Rattus norvegicus: one gene and its partner. The main gene of each other region encodes a partner of the protein of the gene in region 2 in a complex. Links are inferred from orthologs where the notes say so. Each region holds a gene or a part of one and is shown on either strand. Other genes may lie near its edges. The genes, in order: Arpc5 and Arpc3.

The links.
Region 1: Arpc3 (region 2) and Arpc5 share a complex: the UniProt entries of both Homo sapiens proteins name them as parts of the arp2/3 complex. The link is inferred for Rattus norvegicus from reciprocal best matches to the Homo sapiens genes ARPC3 and ARPC5.

The regions. Positions count from the first base shown.
Region 1 is NC_086031.1:67,452,947-67,457,276, reverse strand, and holds the start of Arpc5 (actin-related protein 2/3 complex subunit 5), read right to left. Parts: upstream 2,899-4,330; 5' UTR 2,837-2,898; coding exon 2,694-2,836; intron 569-2,693; coding exon 496-568; intron 1-495. UniProt on the Homo sapiens protein: Component of the Arp2/3 complex, a multiprotein complex that mediates actin polymerization upon stimulation by nucleation-promoting factor (NPF).
Region 2 is NC_086030.1:39,844,329-39,848,837, forward strand, and holds the start of Arpc3 (actin-related protein 2/3 complex subunit 3), read right to left. Parts: upstream 3,109-4,509; 5' UTR 2,999-3,108; coding exon 2,993-2,998; intron 1-2,992. UniProt on the Homo sapiens protein: Component of the Arp2/3 complex, a multiprotein complex that mediates actin polymerization upon stimulation by nucleation-promoting factor (NPF).

The DNA of each region.
Region 1 (4,330 bases), on a different chromosome or scaffold from region 2:
GCTGTGACCCGAGGAAGTAGCACGGAAACCACCTTTTTATGCGCTCATGCCTTTGATTCTGATATTTCATATTTACATAATTAAGAAAAACTTAGGGAATTAAGAGGCAGCTGAGTGTTTTTTGAACCTGTTTGAATTCAACTCGAGCAGATTGCTCCTTAAGCACACACAGAGCTGGTGTCCCCACCCTTTCTGTTTACTGTGCTCCACGCGTCCTAACCACATGTCAGCCCTATTTTCCATGACCGTTCTACTTAGCAGGGGCTTCCTTTCGGGCTGGATGTGGTGGTGCATGCCTTTAATCCCAGTGGAGGCGGGAGATCTCTGCAAGTTTCAGGCCAGGTTATAGACTCAGGTCCAGTCTCAAAACAAAAGTCACACTGTAAACCCTCGTGTCAAGCACAGTAAATAGTTAAAATGGTCATTGAAGGTAGGTGTCAGAGGACTTTGATAATAGCGAAGCAGAAGGGATTAACGCTGTAGTTTACCACTCACCTTCACTGCCTGGCTCTTTGTGTTAATGGGGGGGTTTTTCAGAGCGGCCTGTAGGGCAGCGGTCATGTTTCCTGTAGTGAAGGTTAAGGGCATAACAGAAAGGGCAGCCCCGGGGTTGGGGATTTAGCTCAGTGGTAGAGCGCTTGCCTAGGAAGTGCAAGGCCCTGAGTTCGGTCCCCAGCTCCGAAAAAAAGAACCAAAAAAAAGGCAGCCCCACTTTATGGGACTGGTGGGTTAGACTTGACTTTGTGAACAGTAACAAAAACTACTATGGTCATTAACTGTATGGGTTTCTTTCCAATATGTCAACCAAAGGTTAAAATAATGAAATTAAAAGAATATGATTTTTTTTTTTTGGTTCTTTTTTTCGGAGCTGGGGACCGAACCCAGGGCCTTGCGCTTAAGAATATGATTTTTTTTAAAAGCAAAGATTGTTCTGACCTGTTCTGTCAACCAAAGAGATTACACTTTCCAGGGAAATACACACAATTGTCTAGACAGGTATTCAAGAAGTCTTAGAATATGCCTAAGAATTAAGCCATCGAATGATGCAGTTTACCAACAAAGTATTCCATCCTGTCTGCGTGATTCTTACTGGAAAACAAGCCTAAACTTGATACTGAAACTACACTGTGTATTAACTGAGGTGCTGGCAGATTACTCTGGCAATCAGAGTGGGACAGGCCGTGATAGCTGCATATTGATGAACAGGGCTCCAGATGATGTAATAACCCACACGACCTGTAGGTGGCAGCTTACTTTATTTCCTACAGGTTATTCAAACTGGGCTGGACCCTCCATACCTACTTCGTACTGAAAGCACTAATGAGTTAGCAAGCACGGGAAACGGAAGGCCAATCAGACTGTCAGAAAAGACAGTCATTTCCCTAAAAGGAGAACCAGAGTCACTTGTTCCTCCATCTGTAGTACCCAACCGGGGCTGCCGCTCCTAGTTATAACCAGAGACAGTACCTTTATATTTGGATAAGATGGATTGATGAAAAGGTAGACTGAATTAATAATGGATACAGTCATAATAATCACCAGAAATTACCTAAAATACATTAGTTTAATAAAATATCATATCCACCATAAAGATTTCTTTAAACGAAGAATAAACTCACCACTTCTGTGGAAAAGGTCTAATAAAAATTATCTACAGTTAGTGATAAACTACTGTCAAGCCTGCATAGTCTCTTAAAGAACACTTTTTAAAGAAAAAAATCCCAAGTATTTTAATAAATAAATTAGTAGCAACCAATGTGGAAGTAGTGGTAATGAAAGTTAAACGTATATGGCACATATATGTATATATTCGATGCTGTGGTTACCACTAAATATTTCTGCTTACTTCTTCATCATAATCTAGTAGAAAATCGATGAGGGAGATATGTATCTACAGACTTAATGAATACGAGTTTTCTAAAGCTCCAATTTGGGGTTTTGTGACATTTCTATTTTTCTAAGGGATCAATGCAAATGATTTTCAAGGTTATGAATATTCAGATATGCAAACCAAGGAACCAGGAACTGACAGCCATATTTTAACTAGCCTGGAAACAATTTCAGAAAAACGATTTTGATTTATAGAAGTGACTCATTCTCTGCTTTATTCACTGGGGTTCATCTTAAATTATTCCCAGGGATTCTCTACATGCATTCCCTATCCTTTTCCTAGTAGCCTTTTCTTAGCAGGTGAAAGGCTCAAAGCCTTACCTGGGAATTTTGGATTAGAAAACTCCCTTCAGCCTGTTCATAAATTATATGCAACCTTGCCCAAACCCTCTTCTTTTAATAAATAACACTGCTGATGGAAAAAGCTCATGGGCTGAATGTACGGAGGGCCTCAATTTGTTCCATCTCTCCTGGCTAGAATAAACTATGCCCGCTCCGCAAATCACACACACCCGACAGAATAGCAAGACTCCAGGCGGGACCCGTGTCCCCACCGGGCAGGAATTTTTGGAGCTCAGGTGCCCACTAGGGCGTCATCCGGTGCCCCCCCGAGAGGGTGCGGCCGCTTAGGACAGCGCACCTGAGGAATCGGGGCGCCGGCAAGTTCGCAGGCGCGGCCGCGGGGTGCAGGCGGCCTGATAGCCCCGGGACCTCCTGCCCTCCGTCCCCACCTAGAGCCGGGCACAGCTGGCCGCGTGTCCCCGTGTCCCCGCAACCCCAGGCCGCCGCGAGCGTAAGGATATTGCCGTAGGCATGAGTCCACCTCGCCCTCGTCGGGCCCGGCCTGGCCATCGCCGCCGTCCTCCTCGTCCACGAACTTGTTCTCATCATATTCGTCCACGTCCACCTTCCGGAAGCGGGCCGACGACACCGTGTTCTTCGACATCCCGGATCGCGATGCAACTCTGGCCTCCCCTCCGCGGTGCCTCTTCTTCAGCGAGCCTAGCCTTGTCCGACTCACTTCCCTCTTCCGCTCTGGGGCGTCGCCGGCAGCCGCTGCTTGCTCGCTTCTGGGCCTGCGCGCTAGCCGGCGCGGCTTCCTCCTCAGCTTCCAGCCATCCTTCAGCCCCCGCTCCGCCCCCGCGTCCCCCGGGAGCGCGCGTCGGCCAGGGAGCGCGCGGGACGCACGGCGCACGCGCGGGCCCGCTGCAGGAAAGGGGCGGGGTTGGAGGGAGAGAGGCGGGGGCGGCGGGCGGACAGAAAGCGGGCTGAGGCGGAGCGGGAGACTTGATTGGCCGCCGGGGAGCGTCACGTGACACCCGGGAGGTTCCCATAGAAACGCTTTTCTGCGGTCCAGCCTTGCGGGGGGTCTTGGGCTGGAGGCTATGGGCACTTGGGGCGCGTGGCCTGGAGTGCTGCCGCCGTCGGTGCCAGCCGCTTGTTGTTGGGGTCCGGTGTGAAGTGTGGGTGGTCGGACTTAAGCGTGGGGTGGGATGGACTGGCTGCAGAACCTAGTCCCCTGCAGTCAGCGGGAGAATGAGGCGGAGTGATGCCCAGCACGAAACTAGTGATCGGAGCCCTCCATTCGGACCGAGCGCCGCCGGGGGCTGCGTTCCAGAGCTGAGAGCCCCTTCCGGGGCTTGGGATCTTGGCACGCTGTCGGTGGGAGGTCCCCAAGGACGGAGTCGAAAGGTCACTTCTTACCTGTCAGTGCTGGGGGACAGCATCGCGGCCGGACCTGCAGAATCTCAACTCGGTATTCTCTCCATCTGGAGGGAGGGAAAAGATGCTTGGGCCGGGGCTGGGGACGGGTAGCGAAATTGGGGCAAACTTGTAGCATTTTCTAGAATCAGTCATCACATCTTAAAATAAGTAGTTATTTGGAGCAAGAATGCCAGAAGAGGGTGGGCGAGTTAGGCTTTTCAGCGCTGGCGCTGAGGGAAAATAGCGTGTGCAAGGATTAATAGAAACTGGACTTTCAAGGTTGTTATTTATTGTTTAAGGCACGCCAGATCAGCTTTTTTGCGATATTCCACATTCCCGTCAGAGGCACTAAGATTAAACAAATAATAGCTGTGCTCTGTGCATTATACTGTCGTACACGTATTTACAAAATAAAATTAATTCAGACACTTGGCTATGCTCTGCTTAGATGCAGATCTACCTGGTTTCACAAACAGCAGAAGGCTGGATGTCATCCTGTTGAGTTACCTCGTTTGTTGTGCAGTACTGAAAAAGAGCACTGGGCTTGGGATCAGAAAGCAGTGGCTGAGTTTCGACTTTTTTGCTCTCATAATCTGCGAGATTGAGGCACGTTGCTTAAAATTTGGAACCTCGGATTTCTTATTGCCAAAATTGGGCTAATGTGCTTTTCCCAAGAATGCCCCCAGGGTTCAATTCGCAGAAATACTTAAAAAAGACTCTAAAATTCTGCGTATAT
Region 2 (4,509 bases):
TGCCCAATGCTGGGATGACGGGCCTAGATAACCACAGAACTGGCGACTAAACCAGGGCTTCAGGCACCCTAGGCAACTGCTTGCTCTACCAACTAAGCTCTACTCAGGTTCCCACTAGCTTTTCATGTCTTGTGTGAACGAAACCATTCATTCATTCATTCATTCATTCATTCATCAAATGACCGCTCGGCACCTTTTCTGTGCAAGATACGAGTGACAGTGTGACTTTTTTTTTTAAAGATTAAAAAATAATCTTAATTGTGTGTACGCTTGTATCTGCGGACGGGTATTTCTGTATGTATACAGTATCCACGCACTCCAGCAGATGGCGCTGGGGTCCCTGGAGCTGGAACTAGGCAGCTATGAATTGCTGGGTATGGACGCTGGAACAGAATTGTGGTTGCTGGGAATTGAACTCAGGACCTCTGGAAGAGCAGCCAGTGCTCCTAACCACTGAGCCATCTCTCCAACCCTTAGGTGGTTTTTCATCTCACCACCTGGTAACACTTCTGTTATCCTGAGATGTGTCTGCATTGCTGCAACTCCAGGGCCTGAGGGGTCCACCCTTTCGCCCTGCCCTTCACGTCCTACGTGAAGATTCTCTTAAAACTTGCCAGCCATGAAAGGCTATGAGGCTAGACCCCAGCTAATGGAGAAGAGACAAGAACCGCACTGATTCCCAGGTCAGTGTGCTTGATAGCCCAGTTTGGGTCCAGCTCATGGCGCCTTGTGCATGTGTTTCCAATAGCAGCAAGCTGAACCGTCTCTCCTGATATGAAGCTATATATACGATGTTTCCAGCTAACAGAGAAAGCAGACCAAATAAGCAATCACAGACTAAGTCTAGAGCATTCGTTCTGTGTCCACCTGGCTTGCACACAGAGCTTTTCAGTTCTAGCTTTAACTTTGGCTTCACTACTCATGAGCAACACTGCTAGGTTGGGTGAGAGAGATGGCTCAGTGGTTAAGAGCACTGACTGCTCTTCCAGAGGTCCTGAGTTCAAATCCCAGCACCCACATGGTGGCTCACAACCATCTGTCATGGGGTCTGATGCCCTCTTTGGCATGTCTGAAGATAGCCACACTGTACCCATACAAATAAGTAAATAAATAAATAAATAAATAAATCTTAAAAAAAAAAAAAAAAAAAAAACCCCACAAAACATTGCCCAAGTCATTGAATTTTGCTGAGCCCCAAGTCCTTCAGCAGGATATTAATGCCATGGACATCTCTTTTACACTGTCATCCTGAGAGTTGGGGGCTCTTTGGACAATAACTCTGGGTTTTCACATGTACCTCAATAGTCAGAAACCATAAAAATCATAAATCTTCCAAGGCTAAACATGGTGATGCCAGGCAGGCTTGCGATCCTAGCTGCATGGAAAACTGAGGCAGGAGGATAACAAATTCAAGGCCAGCCTGGGCAACTTTATGAGACCCCTTTACAAAAATAAGAAAGACACGGGAATCTAGCTCGGTGGTAGAGCATCTGTGTATGTAGCATGCCATGGGGCCCTGGGTTCAGTTCCCCACTGCTGCCCAAACACACACACAGCTCAAGGTTATGCTTGCCCTAAGAAGCCTTACCTATGCCAACCTCTTGCCCACATCCCCAGGTCCCTTGTTCCCCCAACCCGTCATCAGGCACTGGTTTGGTTTTACTTTTTGCACATGATCATGCATGCCCGTGTGTGTGTGTGTGTGTGTGTGTGTGTGTGTGTGTGTGTGTGTGTGCACGCGCGCGCGCGCGCATACTGGTACGTATGTGTATGTCCCCAGCTGGAGGCCACAGGTCTCTTTCTTCACTGCTTTTCACTTTATTTTTCAGACTGGGAGCCTCAGGGATCTCTATACATCCCCAGCTCTGGAATTGCCCACAGGAGCTGCCTCCCCTGGCTGTTTTACTTGGGTGCTAGGCATCCAAACTCAGGTCTTCACACTTGTGCCACTGAGACACCTCCTCAGTCCTACTATGTATTTGTGTGTGTGACAGTGTCTCTTACTGAACCCAGAACTTGCTGATTTTTGGCTAGGCTGGCTGGCCAATGAACTCGGAGGATCTGACTGTCCTTTGCCTCAACAGAGCTGGGGTCAGAAGCATGATCTGCTATACTCCCGCACAACAAGCTCTTTCCCCAGTATTTTTTTTTTTTTTTTTTTGCCTCTCTCCATTTCTTACAGCTATGTAACCCAGGCTGACCTAGAACTCACTACACACACAGTCCACACTGATCTGAGATTTGCTATTCTCCTGCCTCTGCCTTCAAGTTTTGGGATGAAATAATTGCCACCATCGTTGCCATCGATCTATTTTCTTCACAGCGTTTGTTAAGATCTGAAGCTACTTCCTATTTATATTTACGCGGTTATTGTTTCTCCGTTAAAGTATCAGCTCCCCGAGAGGGCCTTAGCTGCTGCTGTTAACAGTGCTGGCTTCCCAGTGAGAGTTCAGTAGTAACACTTGTCCAATGAAGGTAGACCTTATTCAAGCGTCCCTTTATAATGTGCAATCGGCATCAATTTCCTCCCACTCGGATGCACACGGAAAAGGAAACTCCTGGAAACTAGCGCTGACTCAGTGGTGGTCTGGGAGTTGGGTGGGAGTTACAGCAGGGAGGACGATGGAAGGGGTCCATCAGGGAAGTGAAGTCTGACAGGTGATTAGCAGCAGGCCGACTCACTCCCTGGGGCGGAGGAGGAAGTGGACATGACAAGAGCGGGGGGGGGGGGGGGGGAGAAGCTGGACCCTAGGTTTAAAAATAAAAGCCATCATTTTTAGGTTTGAGGCTCTAGAGTGGGACCTGGGAACACTGCAGGACTGGGGGTTTGGGAGTGGAAGCAGCGGGGCGAGAGAGCCGGTGCTGGAGGCAAAGGACCGGGGCTAGAGAGCAGGGCGGTTTCCTCTCCCCCAGGCCTTTTGACGCAGGTCTCCCGCCTCCCCTCAGGCCCTCGCCCCGCTCGGCTCCCCGACCTTGGGGCTCGAAGACTTACCGGCATTTTGTCGGTGTCCGGATTCGATCTAGAGATGCTGAACCCAGGTAAAGCGGAGCAGCGTTTCCGGCAAACTAGACTGGGTGGAGTGGGCGGAAATAAGCCGGAAGAGGCGGGCGAAGCGAATAAACGCACTTCCGGACCCGCTTCCGCTGTTTGCTACAGCTGCACTGATCGCAATGAATGCCAGGGGGCGCGCCAGCAGTAAGCTCTGAGTGTGGCGCATGCGTAAAACGCACTCAGAAAAAATGGATGGGCTTTAGAATTGAAGAATCCCTCTCAAGTGGTTAATAATCAACTCCCGTTTTTTCCTTATTCCCTGGCTTCAGCTTCAAAGCCAATAACACTCAGTTCCCCGATTTACCCTTCTGCCATGTCTATTTTTTTTTTTAATTTAACCACAGTGCAAGTGGGGGAAGTGGGGGAAGTGAGATCTGACTTCCCATTATGAGACTCGGGATAAACTGTTTTCAGAAACTCTTGCACACTAAGCAGACTTGGCGGCCATTATTATTATTATTATTATTTTTTTGTTCTTTTTTTCGGAGCTGGGGACCGAACCCAGGGCCTTGCGCTTCCTAGGTAAGCGCTCTAACCACTGAGCTAAATCCCCAGCCCCGGCGGCCATTATTTTTATTTTTCAATGTTTATGTTGTTAAGAGTCACAAGAAGTCGAGGCTGGCATATACATATATATGAACATGAACTTATCTGTCTCCACTTGTGTTCAGGAATTACAGATGTGTGCTCCACTACTCCGTTATTTTATTTTGCTGTTTTATAATGCCTACGGTGGTATCTCTGTCTCCCTACCCCTTGACCTGCCATCCACAAAATGTGTATCATATATCATCCCTACTTTTTAAAAAAATATTTATCTATTTATTTCATGTATGAATACACTGTAGCTATCTTCAGACACAGCAGAAGAGGGCATCAGATCCCATGACAGATGGTTGTGAGTCCCCATGTGGTTGCTGGGAATTGAACTCAGACCTCTAGAAGAGCAGTCAGTGCTCTTAACCGCTGAGCCATCTCTCCTGCCCCATCCCTACTCTTTCAACACGGTATGGTGTTAGGTCTTTCCTGATCACGGTAAGGACTAGGTGGGCAAGAAAACCAAGTATTATAAGGGCCCAGGTGATGCCACATGTCTGAAAGGGTGGAAACAGACCTACCACTGACCCCATCATATATCATCTAAGTATTTTGAGAGTCTCGCTGTGTAGCCCTGGCTAGTCTAGAACTTGCTTTGTAGTCAGTTACATTTTAAATCCCTTGTTGTGTGCAAACTTGTCCTGAGGTCAGAAGGCAACTTTTGTGAATGGGCTTTCCTTCCACCACACAGGCCCCAGGGATGGAGTTTGGATTATCAGGCGTGGCAACAGGACCTGACCAGCCATCTTGCCCACCATATACCTGGAACATAATGAACTCATTATTACCAAGCACCTTCCTCAGAATGCAGTGCATTGCTGTCTCCTAGTCCTTTCTTACGGCAGTCCCTCAGACTGGAA